2 linked regions of the Caenorhabditis elegans genome follow. The protein of the gene in region 1 interacts with the protein of each later gene in a pairwise test. Each region holds a gene or a part of one and is shown on either strand. Other genes may lie near its edges.

Region 1 (7,881 bases):
CATAGAAAATGCAAATGACCTCCTTGAATTTTTTACGGAGCTCCACGATTTGAATAATTCACACAAGCCGGGCCGAGAATTTTTTGTTTTGATATTTTTTTAGCAATGAATTCTAGATTTTTTTCCAAAAAAAAAACAAATAAAAACTCACCCAATGCTGAATAAAAGTTCTATCGAATAAAGCTAAATAAAGTGTCCAAGCGGCAATTACAACGGCAATATATATTAATCCAGAACGAAATCGATCTCTTAACTGACTGAAACTACACTTCCAATATTGAGCTTCTAGTGTTGCAGATCGAAATTGAGGATTCCACCATCTAGCAGATGCTCTCTCAAATAATGGAACACGTCTTGGGGAACTACTGTGTGCACGAACTGATGGTCCACATGAACCACCGAGAGCCGGTGTTCGTTCACCGACATCGTCGTCCATGAATCCAGAAGACAAGAAGAATCTTCAGAATAGAAGACGTTGAAAAATGAAAAGGAAGAAGATGAGGCAAGTAGAGGAGAGCGAGTAGTAGTTGTTCCCCCTCCTTCGCCTCCTACTCCCCCCAACTGCTTACTCTTTTTCTCTCGTTCACTCTCTTCCAATCTCTCACTTACTTTTGAAAGCCTTTTCAGAGAAAAAGAGAGTAAAAGAAAGTGCGCAGAGAGCTTTGGAATGAGAGAGGCGCAGAGTTTGAAACGAAAAGCTGCGCGCTCGACTGGCCCCAGGGTGGGGCGGGTCCAAGAGTGTGGAAGAGAGAGAGAGAGGATGGAGAATAGACATTGAGCCTCAATCTTTCGATTATTGTGCTCATGGATTCGGGGGATCCCATGGGATTTGATAAGTATGTCGGAAACAGCAAATGAATGAATAATTAGCGATGGAAATTAGGACTTCAACTAATGAAAAATGGTCAGCAAGTGAATATCTTGGGGGTTTTTCGGATATGATGATCAGCAGGTTCAGGTTATCAAAGTAATGCAGTTTAAGTGAACCTTCACTGTAGGCACTTACCCCCTAGGCATCTGGTAGGGCGTATATCTAGAATTGAAACACTGATTCAAGCGAAACTTTTTCAACTACCGTACTCGGGAGTACTGTAGTACCTCAATCTTTCTCGCCAAATTTCTCCTGAAATTACAGAACTTATGAATTGATTTTTCCTCGAAAAAATCTACGTATATATTTGAAATCGGGAAATAAGGAAAAAAAACTTTTAAAAAGCTTCTATCATACTCGCTGGTACGGTATTTGATAAAGTTTTTCTTCGTGGTAAGATTTTTGTTGATGAAAGAATGAGTCTGTGAAGAATAAACCTTCAAAATTGAACATGGTAGTTGAATGAAAATTAATCTTTTATGCCTAAATAATTTCACATAGCTATATAGCTATTACATTTTTCGCAACAATTCTGAATACCCCGGTTATCGTATTTCGTCGTCTTGGATGCTTGCTAAATGAACCAATTTGTTTACCTATCACGCAATAAAGATGAATCGAAATCACTTTTCGCAATATCGCTTTAAAATGAAACATATAATTCCTAAAATACGCGAAACTCGGGAAAGCGATATTTTTTAAACGACCGCGTTTTTCTATCTCTACCCGCCTCTTGCAATCCCACACTCTCTCGCCTAGCATCACAATGGGGCGCAGTTGCATAAATCGCTTCGCGTTCAAATTCAGAAAATCGTCTCATTTTTATTTTTGTCCTCGACCCGAATGGCCGGTTTCCTTCTTTCTCCGTTTTCTTTATTGATTAATTTTCGCTCGTTTGGCCTAAAAACCGCGTAAAATCCGTCATTTTTCACCTATCTGGCTAATTTTTTTTGCACAAAATAAGATTTTTCAGTTTTCTTTCACTTTTAAACCTTTTCCGCACTGTGAGCTGTTTGCAATTTTCTTAATTTTGCTCTTTGTGCTTTTCGAAATTTTTGTATTATGAAATTTCGTTCTTCCCAAGTGAAATTAACTGAATTTGTTGCAGGTAATGGATTTTATCGATAATCAAGCCGAAGAATCAGATGCCTCCTCGGGCCATTCTGATGATGAAGAACCACAGTCGAAAAAGATGAAAATGGCAAAGGAAAAATCAAAAAGAAAGAAGAAAATGGTTGCCAGGTAATTATAATTCCGGGGTATTTCTATTTTCATTTGTTCATTTTTAGTTCTGACGAAGATGAAGACGACGATGACGATGAAGAGGAAAACCGTAAAGAAATGCAGGGATTCATTGCAGATGATGACGATGAAGAAGAGGACGCAAAATCGGAGAAGTCAGAAAAATCTCGGCACTCGGGAGAAGATGAGCTCGACGATGAAGATCTTGATTTGATCAATGAGAATTATGATATTCGAGAGACGAAAAAACAAAATCGAGTTCAATTGGGTGATTCCAGTGATGAAGATGAGCCGATACGAGTGAGTAATTTCGATTTTTTTCAATTGCCACTAAAATTCATAATAATAATAATAATCAAATTCGGAATTTCAGAGACCCAACCACGAAGATGATGATTTGCTTTCCGAACGAGGAAGTGACGATGGAGACAGGCGAAAAGATCGTGGTCGTGGAGATCGCGGTGGTTACGGATCAGAGTCTGAAAGAAGTGAGGATGACTTTATTGAGGACGATGGAGATGCGCCACGAAGACATCGGAAACGTCATCGTGGAGACGAAAATCTCCCAGAAGGCGCTGAAGATGACGCCCGTGATGTATTCGGAGTGGAAGACTTCAATTTGGACGAGTTTTACGACGATGATGATGGCGAGGATGGTCTAGAAGACGAAGAGGAGGAAATAATAGAAGATGATGGTGAAGGAGGAGAGATAAAGGTTGGAATTTTTGAGAAAAGCTTTGCATTATTGAAATAGGAATGGTTCAGATACGCAGAAAGAAGGATACTACAAAGAAGTCAACACTTCTCGAATCCATCGAACCAAGTGAAATTGATCGTGGATTCTTGTTACCTGGGGATAAGAAAATCGCGAAAGAAGATTTACCAGAGAGGTTCCAACTCAGAAGAACACCAGTTACAGAAGCGGATGATGATGAACTGGAATCTGAAGCTCTATGGATTATTAAATATGCCTTCGAAGAAGGGACAGTGACAAATCAAGCTGACCTGGATCAAGACGATAAACTTGATTGTATAATGAATCTGGATCCTTCTGTCTATGAAGATAGAAAGAAAGCTGTTATAAAATCCATCAAGAAAGTTCTCCAATTCATTCGAGTTCGTTCTAATTCGTTCGAACCTACGTTTATTGGATTTTATCGTAAAGAAGATATTGACAATCTTCTGACAATGAATAATCTATGGAGAGTATACGATTTTGACGAAAAATGGTGTCATTTGTCAGAGAAGAAAAATAAAATTTACGATTTAATGCGTCGGATGAGAGAGTATCAGGAACTCAGTGACGATTTGACCGCAAAAAGACGACCGATTTCGGATGCAGATTTGATGGAGTAAGTTTTAAAATTTAAAATTTAGAATTTAAATTATTTTTCAGCACAAAATACGCAGAAACTCTTGAACAGCTTACCGACATACATGCAAATTTCCAATTGTTGTACGGTGCTCTTCTCGACGATATGATTAGATGGGAAAAAGGACGTTTAACCGGTGAAGAAGAGGAACAAGAGTATCGAGTCAAGTTCAAGTCAAGCATTCGTAATGATAAGTATCAAATGTGTGTGGAAAACGGAATCGGAGAGCTTGCTGGACGGTTTGGATTGACTGCAAAACAGTTTTCTGAAAATTTGAACTGGAAAAAACACGACATTGAGCAAGATCCGATGTTACCATTGGAAGCAGCAGAAGAGTATGTTTGTCCTGCGTTCAGTGACAGTGATATGGTTCTGAATGGTGCGAAATTCATGCTTGCCAAGGAGATCAGTCGACAACCACAAGTCAGGCATAGTGTTCGGCAAGAATTCCGCCAGTCTGCACATTTTTGGATCAAGCCAACGAAGAAAGGACGTGATACAATTGATCAAACTCATCCCCTCTATGACAAACGGTATATCAAGGTGAGAATTATTTGAAATAAATGTCTAGGATTTTAATAAATATATATTTTTAGAGTAAACCAGTTCGAAGTCTCACCGCTGAAGAGTTCCTCTTCTATCACAAAGCCAAAGAGGATGGTCTTGTTGATGTGCTCATCATGTATGAATCTGAAGAAGATCAGGATTCAAATAACTACCTCGTTAACAAGTATCTAAGTGATTCCATTTTCCAAAAAGACGAATACACGGAAAATGTTGAACAATGGAATTCAGTGAGAGATGAGTGTGTGAATATGGCTATAACTGAAATGCTTGTACCCTACATGAGGGATGAGTTGTATAATACGATTCTTGAAGAAGCAAAGACTGCAGTAGCAAAGAAATGTAGAAAGGAGTTTGCATCTCGAATTTCTAGATCAGGATATCTGGTATTAATTTGATTTAATAACTATGTAATTGTTTTGTTTTATTTCAGCCGGATTTCGATAATAACGATGACGATGATGATGGTATGGATCAACATGGAGCTCGTCGAATCATGGCAGTGTGCTATCCAACAGAGCGAGACGAAGCTTCATTTGGTGTAATGGTTGATGAAAATGGTGCAATTGTTGATTATCTTCGAATGGTTCATTTCACGAAACGAACGTTTGGCGGTGGAAACAATGGACTAAGGAAGGCCGAGTCAATGGATTTGTTTAAGAAGTTTGTACAGAGACGAAAACCTCATGCTATTGGATTGAATATTGAGGATATGGAGTGTACTCGATTGAAGGTTTGCACTAGTTTTGAACATTTGATACTTAAAAACTGCAATTTTCAGAGAGACCTCGAGGAAGCTGTGGCAGATCTTTTCTCGCAGAACTTGATCTACAAACCAATTCCAGTATTTTTGATGGACAACGAAGCCGCAAAAGTCTACATGAGATCGAATGTTTCGTTGGCGGAGAATCCAGATCATCCACCGACGCTCCGACAAGCTTTATCCCTAGCTCGTCTTCTTTTGGATCCCATCCCAGAGTATGCTCATTTGTGGAATATTGATGAAGATATTTTCTGTCTCTCTCTGCATCCGCTTCAACGGGATATCGATCAAGAGCAATTGGCTTTGGTTCTCAGTCATGAATTGGTGAACAAGGTCAACGAAGAAGGTGTTGATATCAATAAATGTGCAGAATTCCCTCACTACACTAACATGCTCCAGTTCACATGCGGATTGGGTCCACGAAAAGCCACTGATCTTCTGAAAAGCATAAAAGCTAACGATAATTTGATAGAGAGTAGATCGAAACTTGTGGTTGGATGCAAACTGGGACCAAAAGTATTTATGAACTGTGCTGGATTCATCAAAATTGACACTATCAAGGTATCGGAGAAGACTGACGCTTATGTTGAAGTTCTTGACGGTTCGAGAGTACATCCAGAGACCTATGAATGGGCTAGAAAGATGGCTGTGGATGCGTTGGAGGTTGATGATTCTGCTGATCCAACTGCGGCTCTTCAAGAAATCATGGAATCTCCTGATCGTTTGAGAGATCTCGATTTGGACGCGTTTGCCGATGAATTGAGTCGACAAGGATTCGGAGAGAAAAAGTCGACGTTGTATGACATCTCAAGCGAGTTGAGTGCGAGATATAAAGATCTTCGGCAACCATTCCAAGAACCTACCGGAGAGCTTTTGTATGATCTTTTGGCTCGTTCAGGAAAAGAAATTAGAGTATGTTACTTGTAATAATTCTGTCGATTTTATTTTTATTTTTGCAGGAAGGAGCTAAAGTGTTGGGAACAGTTCAATCTGTGCAGTACCGTAAAGTTGACAAAGATGCAGCAGACAGCATGTTACCTGATGTTGGAGAAGATGGTCTTTTCACTTGTCCATGTTGTAAATCGTTCACATCTTCGGCTCCTGGTGGAATTCAAGAACATATGCTCGGTGACGTAAGTTTTTCTCAACTAATACTATTCGTTAACCAATGTTAAATTATTTCAGTCTCGTCAAGGTGGATGTCCTGGAACACCAGTCGGAATTCGAGTCAGATTTGACAATGGAATGACTGGATTCTGTCCGAACAAGAACATCTCATCAAGTCACGTAGACAATCCATTAACCCGAGTCAAGATAAATCAGCCATATTACTTCAAAGTTCTCAAGTTGGACAAGGAGAGATTCTCACTATTCCTAAGTTGTAAGAGTTCGGATCTGAAAGAAGATGATTTATCTCAACGTGATCAGTACTGGGATGAGCATCAATACCAAGCTGATTTGGAACTGATGAAGAGTGAATCGAAAAAGAAGACAGAAGCAAATACACGTGTGAAGCGAGTAATTGCGCATCCAAATTTCCATAATGTATCCTACGAAGCTGCTACGAAAATGTTGGATGAAATGGATTGGTCTGAGTGTATTATTCGTCCATCGGCTAATAAAGATTCTGGTCTTTCTGTGACATGGAAGATTTGTGACCGCGTCTATCACAATTTCTTTGTCAAAGAATCCGCAAAGGATCAAGTTTTCTCCATTGGTCGGCAACTCTCAGTCGGCGGAGAAGATTTCGAGGATCTTGATGAGTTGATTGCTCGATTCGTTCAACCGATGATACAGATCTCTCACGAGATAACAACTCACAAGTACTTCTTCCCAAATGGAACATGCGAAGAAACAGAAGCAGTCGAGCAATTTGTACGAGAGAAGAAACGAGAGCTGGGACGATCTCCGTACGTATTCAGTGCATCCTACAGACAGCCATGCCAATTCTGTATTTCTTATATGTTCGATAATACAGAACGGATTCGACATGAATATTTCAAAAGTGAGTTTCGAAAAGAGATACGAACAAAGTTTTCAACTATTTTTGTTTACAGTTGTCCCACATGGAGTCCGATTCCGACATCAAAACTTTGATACGCTAGATCGAATGATGGCTTGGTTCAAACGCCATTTCCACGAGCCTCCCATCGAGTTAAGGCGATCTGCGATCCCGGCTCCACAGTATCGAGTTGGTGCTCCTCCAGCAGCTCCATACTATCCTCCTCAATTCGTCGGCTATCACTGAAAACCCTGATCTTATTCTCTTTATTACCCACACCTTATCAGACACATTCAATCCTGTTTCCTTTGTTCCAGTCTATCAACGATGATCTAATTTTAATTTATAGAATACAACATCCATCTGTCTTAATCCCACATAATTTGTTTTGATTTCGGTAATCCGTTCATCCTCGATTTTTACTTTTCAAACATTTTTATATATCTATCAAAATATTTATTCAAGCAGTCATACTGTTCATGAGCTCTTTCTGTATTCAAGTACCATTTTTGTTGTTTACTCAATAAATTTCGTAATCAGAATCACTGCTAAATCATCACGAAAAAACGTAGAATGCGTTGATCACAATTGATATTGGAATAAGAATTGCAAATTCAGTTTTAGAAGAAAAAAAAGTATTCTAGATTCTACTCATATGAATGATTCATCACTAAAAAAGGCACTGTCCCAAAACTCGATCTCATCCGCGCCAAGGTAGTAAGGTTTTTGTTTCTGTCGTATCTATTTAACCTAAACGTAAATTAAAAAATATCTGTCTTTTTTTCTAGGCGTCCTCAAAAACTTGGAAGTGTGCAGAGTATTGTAAGAAATGAATCTGACAAAAGTAAGTTTCAAATCAAATTTCCCAATTAAATCAATTAATTTACTTTTTGAGATGTTCCTTCTCCTTTCGAAGAGATCACACTGAGCGACGATGATGAAGAAGCACCGGCTAAGAAACCTGTAAAATGTGCGACGTGTGCACGAGATATGACTCTTTGGATGAATTCCAGAAGGTTTGAAATATTATTTGTGTTTCTTCTCACTGTTCAAATTTTAGAGATAT
Region 2 (7,817 bases), 4.4 Mb from region 1:
CAGCCTTCAAGCATCGAATTGCCTCTGTTGTAATGACATCTTCCGGTTTTCCTCTGACATTGGCAGCAAGCCAGTGCAGAACTCGTCGTCTATACTTTGAATCCACTTGATTGACTGACTCATTTGTGATTGGAGCTGTAATCGCATCTGGTCCTGCAGCTTGAACATGGAGAGGGCTGAAAGAAACATAACAATAATTATAATAAAACTATAAAGATTCACTCACATTTCGTCGGCTGGTAGATCAGCTGGTGCGAACGTCTCAGATTGAAAGTCAAAGTTCAATTCGTTGTAATCACCGGGATATCCATTTGCGAGAGTTTGTGGATAAATCTGTGAATATTGTTCTCCATTGTAGCCGGTACTATAATCGCTACAGTGTCTCTTGGTATTGGGGTGATAGTAGGCAGAATTGTCAAGAAGAGAGCACTGACTCGAATGATTTGACTGATTCCGACGACCTTTCTCGTTCGTTGATTCCATCGGAGGCATCCAGACTGTTGCGTTCACCATTTTTCTTTTTCTACTTCTTTCTGGACCATTCTTTGCGATAACACCAGCGACAACAGTTCCAAAAGCCAAAAATGCAATACATGCAAACAGAATAACTTGACTGCGAGACCATCCTTCATCGATTTCGTTTCTCTTTGGAACAGCTACCATTGCTTCCGTAATTGGGAGACCCAGAGACATACGACCCTGAAAATGTTTTAATTATTATTTTCCATAACTCAAACAATTAAAGGTTCACCGCTTTTTGGCTCGAAATATACTATAAAATTTTTCTAATTTTTAAAAATTATATTTGGTCATTTTATCACCATAAAAATAGATTTTAAGCCCCACCAGTGCTGGGACTTTTTGATATTTTGACGAAAAATTGTTTTTTTGGTTTTGGATTCAAAAACTAATTTTCTGTACTTCAAACATTTTTTTATGTTTTACAAATATTTTTAGCAAAACGCGGATGATTTTCTTCTAAAAAGTGAAAAGTGAACCGGAAATCTACCTTTTTGGATTTTTCACAAATTTAATTTTTTTTGTTATTTCGGTCCAAATTATTTTGTTTCCAGCCCGGTGCCGTACTCCACATAAAAATAACTTACATCAGACTTCACAAGTCCAGCAGCAATCAAATCAACGACACTTTGCGCTGTTGAAAATCGGCAAAACTCGGGTTTACATATTTCTTCGACTTCCAAATACAAGACAATTCCAGTGACAACAGCTTGCCGATACCTGCGAACGTGATGCGAAAGTACAAATTGATCTTCGAGCTTGCTACTATTCATCTCAACTCTTTCCATTTCATGTTCACCATCCCATCTGAATACAAGAGGTCCAAGTTCATCCCGTTGAATACGTACGGTTGCTCGAAGATTTGCACTGATTTGCATTAGTGTTTCTCCTCCGGTAGCTTGGAATTCAATAGGATCAATTTGAACTTTTATACGAATATCACTGAGGATTATTGCTTCTGTTCCGTTATTGCAATCTCCACCGTCAAAACCACATCCAATGAAACTGCATTCTAAATTACAAACTCCATCGCCTCGTCTTTCAATACAATGTTTCCGAATATGAGCTGGGCATCGAAATAACTCTGATTGACAGTCCAATCCATCGTAAAGACATTCTTCATTATTGCATTCCTGATTACAGACTCCATTTGCGAATTGATCAGCACATCTTGCAGGGTATTGACATTTGGAGAATGGTCTTTGCCCTCCTGAGCAATCACCTCCATCAAAATTACATTCTTCCAAATTGCATTCCGGGTTGCAAATACCATTGGAAGCAAGATCCATACACTTTCGTTGCTCGCATAGATCACGAATGACACTGAAATGTTCACATTTAATACCTTGAATACAAATTTTGAAGGAATTTTATCTTCATCGTCATTATACTCCAAGTGGCTCAAAAAAATAATTCCAAATAAATCATGGCAGTTCAAATCTTGGAAAAAGACAGCCTTATTTTAGCTAAAGAAATTTTATTTAACACCTTCCCCGTGTCACACAAACCGAAGCTGGCAAAATTAGAGATTTGAGCTAAAATTAGGTATTTATTTCATTGAAACCGCTTTTTACTTCAATAAATTATTTTTCTGGGCTGCATTCTTTATAGTATCCAAGAAAACTAACGTCTCTTTTGATTTCTCGATAACTAGAACTTCTTCACAAGTGGGTCCAGTGTATCCATATTGGCATTCGCAATATCCAGTATTCTTACAAACTCCTCCGTTCTTGCATGGATGTCTGGAGCATAACTGTCTATCCTTTATTTCGCAGTAATCTCCAGAGAATCCGTTGGGGCAGTTACATCTGATAACGCCATTCACACCTTCACAAGTACCTCCGTTAGCACATGTAGTTGGAGTGCACACTGAAGTTTGTTGATATTAAGAATGCTGCCTAGTAATCTTGAGCTAAAAATACGGTATCAGGTCTCGCCACGACAAAAATTTTGTTAAATGCGAAAAAATGTGCGCTCCTAAAGAGTACTGTAGTTTAAAAACTCTCCTTGCTCCGGGATTGCCATTGATTTTTCAAAATTTAAGTCTGTGTAGTCTATGTAGATTTGATGTTAAAAAGCTGAAAAATTGATGAAAATTTCACCGTTTGAAACTACAGTACTCTTTAAAGGCGCGTTTGTCGTATATAAAAATAAAATTTTCGAACTTACACAAATGTTGCTCGCAGTTCAATCCATAGAATCCAAGCGGACAATGACATGAATATCCACTGTTTTTGAGATCGATACAAGTCGCATTATTCACACACGGATTGTATTTGCATGACTGAATATCTGGGAACTTGAAATCTTTCCTATTAATCTCACATCGATCTCCAATATAATCAGGTTCACAGACACAGAAACCATTTATACATCTTCCATCGTTGTAACACGTTCCATTGCTCCGAGAGCAGTGTGGTCTCTGTAGTGGAAGATCACAATGAATTCCCCCGAATCCTGAAGGACACTCAATCTCACATCGTTGTCCAGTGAATCCTTGTTCGCAATAACAAATTGGCATCTGATTCGAGTCATGGGCACAGTATCCATCATTTTGGCAAACGTAATCCTTGCACATGTCGATAGCCTCCTCGCAATACTTTCCAGCGTATCCAGGTTTACAGGTACAAGTAAAATCACCGTGCAAATTGAAACATGTAGAGTTGTTAACACACGTTTCTTCGATGAGGCATTCGTTTTTATCCTTATTGCAAAATTCTCCCTCGTATCCCGAGTCGCATACACATCTGAAGTTCTTGTCTTCATCTCTGTTCGGAATACATCTTCCATGATTGCAAATGTTTCCCATCAAAGCACATTCAGTTCGTTCACAATATCGACCGGATTTTCCAATTGGGCAATCACAGTAATAGTTGTATACACTATTGACACACGTTGAACCTTCTGCGCATTCATTTTGAGCACAATGATCGATTCCTTCTTCACAATACGATCCTCCATATCCATTGTTGCATATGCACTGAAATCCACCATAGAATGGATAGCAGAGTCCGTTGTTGCAAGGATCCGAATCGCATGGATTTACTCCCGAAAATAGAGGAGTTTTGCAGTCAGGACCTGAAAATATTAATGTATTAATCACGGATAGGCCTTTGTCTTCTTTTTAAAAAAAGTGGAATTTAAATTCAAATTCCGGCGGAAGTTTGTTTTTCCTAATAGCCATTCACACCTCATTACCCCCAACCGCCGATTATTTCCTTTGAGATGAGAAAGGTGTCAATCTCATTACGGTAAAATAGAGAAAAAGAACACGCAATATTTTGATTTATTTGAGATCAAATCGGTTCCGACAACAGATGGAAAAAGTTATCACAGTGGGAGACTTGGATCTCGCGCATTTCTTATTAGAATATGTTAAATTAAATTAAATATATTTAATTTATTTTTTACTATATTTTTTAAAATCTGATAATTTCATTGGTCCTTTGTGTTTTCGAAAAATATAAAATTGAAAAAAAAACAATTTTGCAACTTTTTAAAAATTAAAATAGCTGTCAATTGTTGCTCAAAACAACAATAATTGTGATACAAAGTCATTGACTATTAGTAATCATACATTATCCAAACTTTACTCACCTCCATAGCCTTCTTCACAGCCTTTTTGAGTACGTTCTGTTGGAGGAGTCTCGTCTTCGCAATCTGAATAATAAAACTTATAAATATTTTCTCATGGCTGTCTGTGTAACAACATCTGCTTGATTTATACTACTGCCCCCGCGCAATGAAACCGAACATTTGCAATAAATCGCATGACAAAGGCGATGAAGATGTGCGAATATGACCTAGTAGAAGCTATCTATCACTAGCGGTCATTTTGAGAGCGTAGAAATGAAAAATAGGATACCACGAATGCGGTACAATTTGTCAATGTTGGGATCTCCCGGGAGAATTATTATACGTATGGTCGCGTGTTTTCCCTAATAAGTTTTCGAAATTTTGATATATCCTGAAACAAAAAATTGCGTACAAGTCGGGCACAATCAAAGAAAAATACACTCGCAGTGTGATGATGGATGATGTGGTGAAAAAGATTGCCGCTATGAAAAAGGGCAGATGAAGAAAAAGGTGGAAGTAAAACATGGAACAAAATTTTGAATTTGAAACGTTTAAAATCTTAAAATGATTGATTAGAATACACTTGAATCGAGATAAAGTATTTATCAAACTATGCAAAAAGGCGATAATTTGATTTAAAGATTTGAGAAGTCCCATTATGAAAATAGGTCGTTTCGGGCAAAATATTATGATATTTAACAGATTTTAGGATTCACAAAATTACCTTGACAGATACACGTCGGATTTTCACCATAAACATCGTAGATGCACTTCTCGCCTCGTTTACAATCCAAATCGCATTCACGTTCACAGAAAGCACCTCCGAATCCTTTTTTGCAACTGTAAATTTGATTAAATTATTTTTAAACTGAAAAGTAATTCAATTGAGACAATTTATGACTGTGGGCCAGTGGTGGGTGACAATCAATAAATTACAGTATTTTTAATCAAAAATCGTGGCAAAATATATCGATTTACTTGAAAATAACAATTTTTCAGCTGATATATTCGTGAAAGTGATCAGAAAACAAATCTCGATAATTCACTCAACAACTTTCAGACAATTTTGGACCATTTTCTCACATTTTTAAGCTGAAATAAGTGTTATTTTCAGATAAATCGAGCGATTTTATGTATTTTAGAGCATCATGGCGCAATTTTCCTATCGATAAATACGTTGATACTCTCTGTATAACTAATCAAACGAGCTAGATAGTAATAAGAAAAGACAAGATTAAAGAACCGACACGCTAATCCAATTGTTTTATGAACGTCCATATAAATTCGCCGACAACCCTGGGAAGATGGCTGTAAACGGCTGTAAATTTTGCCTTTGGAACTCAAAGTTATTGATAAGAAAAATGAATTGTTTGTAGAGAAAAGGGAAAACTAAATAACAATTTTTTAGATTTCCCGAACGATTTACGAGATTTTACATTGTGACAGCCTCCTGCTGTTCATTGTGTTCCCATTCTGCAAGCCGGGTGGCGTTTAATGATGTCTTAGAGGGAAATATGGACAGTGATAATTCAACTTTCGGATATTATTCAAAATGTTCTCTACACCAAGCTTTTGTTTATCTATCGCCTGTTTCCCACCACCACCACCTGCCCAAACTTTCTTTTTTTTGTTCTTTTCGTCACGGTTCATGAGAAAGCGGATGAATAACATTGACATGGGAGAATGAAATATATGCTTACCGGCACCAGTATGTCTCAATCAGTTTTCCATTATAGCATTTTCCATTGACGGAGCAAGCACCTTCCCTTCCGCATTCTCCACCCATAAGTTGACTGGCGATTGGCGCAAAAAACGCGAGTAAAATTAGAAGAACTCGCATTGTTGTGTTCGCTGTTCGAGATTCTGTTATTATTAGTTGTTAGAGCAGCTCTTGGTGTTATTGTACATGAATCTGAAAGAAAATATGAATTAAATCAAGAGATGCGGTTAAGCGAAAAAAAAGAACACTTCAGCATTATCACAAAAGTACAAAAAAAGAACGGAGAACAGGAAAAAAACGAAAATGGAGAAGACAAGGAGCGACGAATGAAGGCCGGGTGGCATACTCCGCCCATTTTCTGAGTGTGTTGCGATTGTCTTGACACCTGAGATGGGCGGTCCAAAAAGAAGGATAACAGTACTTTTTTCGAATAGGAACACTAGAAAAAGAACTGTTAGGATAAATCGGAAAACTCATTGATTACATTATTTTATTGCCTATCCGACAGCTGCATGTTGGTTGCGAAATGTGGAGAAAACAACCAATTTATGGCCTTTCAATTGATCATTCCCGTGAAGAAGAAGTGGGGAAAACGATTTACATAAGAAAGTGAACGAAAAACTTTGTTAGAACGATAAACGGAGATTTGTTTGCAATGATTTACTTGGAACCTATTTTACGCCGTTTTCAAGCGATGAATATTCCGAAAATAATGTGATGGAGCTAAATAAACTTATTACGATCTCATTTAAAATATTAGAAATACAGAAAAATGTTCTTATCGTGTCAAAAAAAGAAAAAAAAACAAAGAAAATCATTTTAAAACTCAAAATAAATTTTGGCGCCGTGCACAGCTCGGAAGTCCGCAATTGACGACCGTACCCCTTCGCTTACCGTAGTTCTGATATTTGCTTATCTTTTTTAAATATTATTCTCAAAAACACACACAAAACTTATCTGAAGATTAAAAATACGAAAAACTGTATTCATGTTTGAATAGAAAAAAATCTACAGTATGTCTGTAAACATTATTTCAATATTCAGTCAATTCTGGAATAAACAAATTTGCTCTGCTTCTGGAAATGTTTATACAAAGAAAAAGCGTTATTGTCGGCATACAATACGGAATATAAAGGAAAACGGAAAAAGAAAACCGAAGTGCTAAATCGATAGTGATCACATAGGCGGTTTCAGAATAATCCACGTTTTCGTGCAGCAAGTCGTCCATTGTTCTCGAATTTGAACCTTCCTAAATCAGTCCGTGTTCTAATTTCCCGTACCTGGCCACATATGAACACAAATTATATTGGTAGAACATATGGAAACAAGGTACACGTGTAGTTATTGTCCGATAAAATGATAGTTTTATGACTCATAGGAAATTTGAATCTAGGAAGATTCCACGCAAAACTGTTGGTCAGATGCAATTTTTCACGATTTTTCGAAAAGATGTGCGCCTTTATGGAGTACAGTAATCCATTTCGCAATTTTCTTTGAGTTTTTCACTATATTTCTCTCGTTCACAAAGATTTTGATGGATTATATTAAATTTCTCGTTTTTGGGAGAAAAAAGTAAAAATCAAAGGCAATTTCAAAAAAAAAACCGGAAAATGGTTACTGTGCTTCTTAAAGGCGCACACCTTTCCGTCAATTTAAAATATTATGTTCGTGGCGAGATACGGGGCATACCGTATTTCTGCGTGGGAAATTGCAAAATTTTGTCAAAAAAAAATTTCTTCCAAAATAAGTTGAAAACTCTCACTGGACCGGACGTACAAAACTACATGTTTCTCCCAAAACATTGTTAATGTTGTTTCTCATACTCGAGGTTACCTAGGTATTCAAAACATTTGTACTGAAGAAAAAACATTCAGCATTCGGAAGATAAACTATAAGGTCATGTGAGAAAAGAGAAAAAGTATTGGGGATTCTGAATGTTTCCATAAAATGGGTTTTGTACAGCACAAGGAGTTAGGATTAATTTTACAACTTTAATTGAATT

What was found.
Region 2: the proteins of emb-5 (region 1) and glp-1 interact in a two-hybrid assay, tested with the Caenorhabditis elegans proteins (one study listed by BioGRID).

What each region holds. Positions count from the first base shown.
Region 1 is NC_003281.10:4,714,767-4,722,647, reverse strand, and holds emb-5 (Suppressor of Ty 6 homolog), read left to right. Parts: upstream 1-1,977; 5' UTR 1,978-1,982; coding exon 1,983-2,113; intron 2,114-2,160; coding exon 2,161-2,413; intron 2,414-2,486; coding exon 2,487-2,828; intron 2,829-2,878; coding exon 2,879-3,465; intron 3,466-3,509; coding exon 3,510-4,029; intron 4,030-4,082; coding exon 4,083-4,436; intron 4,437-4,483; coding exon 4,484-4,783; intron 4,784-4,831; coding exon 4,832-5,725; intron 5,726-5,772; coding exon 5,773-5,946; intron 5,947-5,998; coding exon 5,999-6,818; intron 6,819-6,870; coding exon 6,871-7,061; 3' UTR 7,062-7,355; downstream 7,356-7,881. Other genes in the region: acy-1 (adenylate cyclase), read right to left, coding at 152-436; him-18 (SAP domain-containing protein), read left to right, coding at 7,471-7,529, 7,604-7,659, 7,711-7,831, 7,876-7,881. UniProt on the Caenorhabditis elegans protein: Histone H3-H4 chaperone that plays a role in maintenance of chromatin structure during RNA polymerase II transcription elongation.
Region 2 is NC_003281.10:9,090,431-9,098,247, reverse strand, and holds the start of glp-1 (glp-1/Notch intracellular domain), read right to left. Parts: upstream 6,008-7,817; 5' UTR 5,936-6,007; coding exon 5,796-5,935; intron 4,936-5,795; coding exon 4,820-4,935; intron 4,180-4,819; coding exon 4,117-4,179; intron 3,598-4,116; coding exon 2,689-3,597; intron 2,389-2,688; coding exon 2,148-2,388; intron 1,843-2,147; coding exon 1,107-1,842; intron 700-1,106; coding exon 227-699; intron 177-226; coding exon 1-176. UniProt on the Caenorhabditis elegans protein: Essential signaling protein which has a major role in germline and embryonic development; involved in cell fate decisions that require cell-cell interactions. Probable membrane-bound receptor for putative ligands lag-2 and apx-1.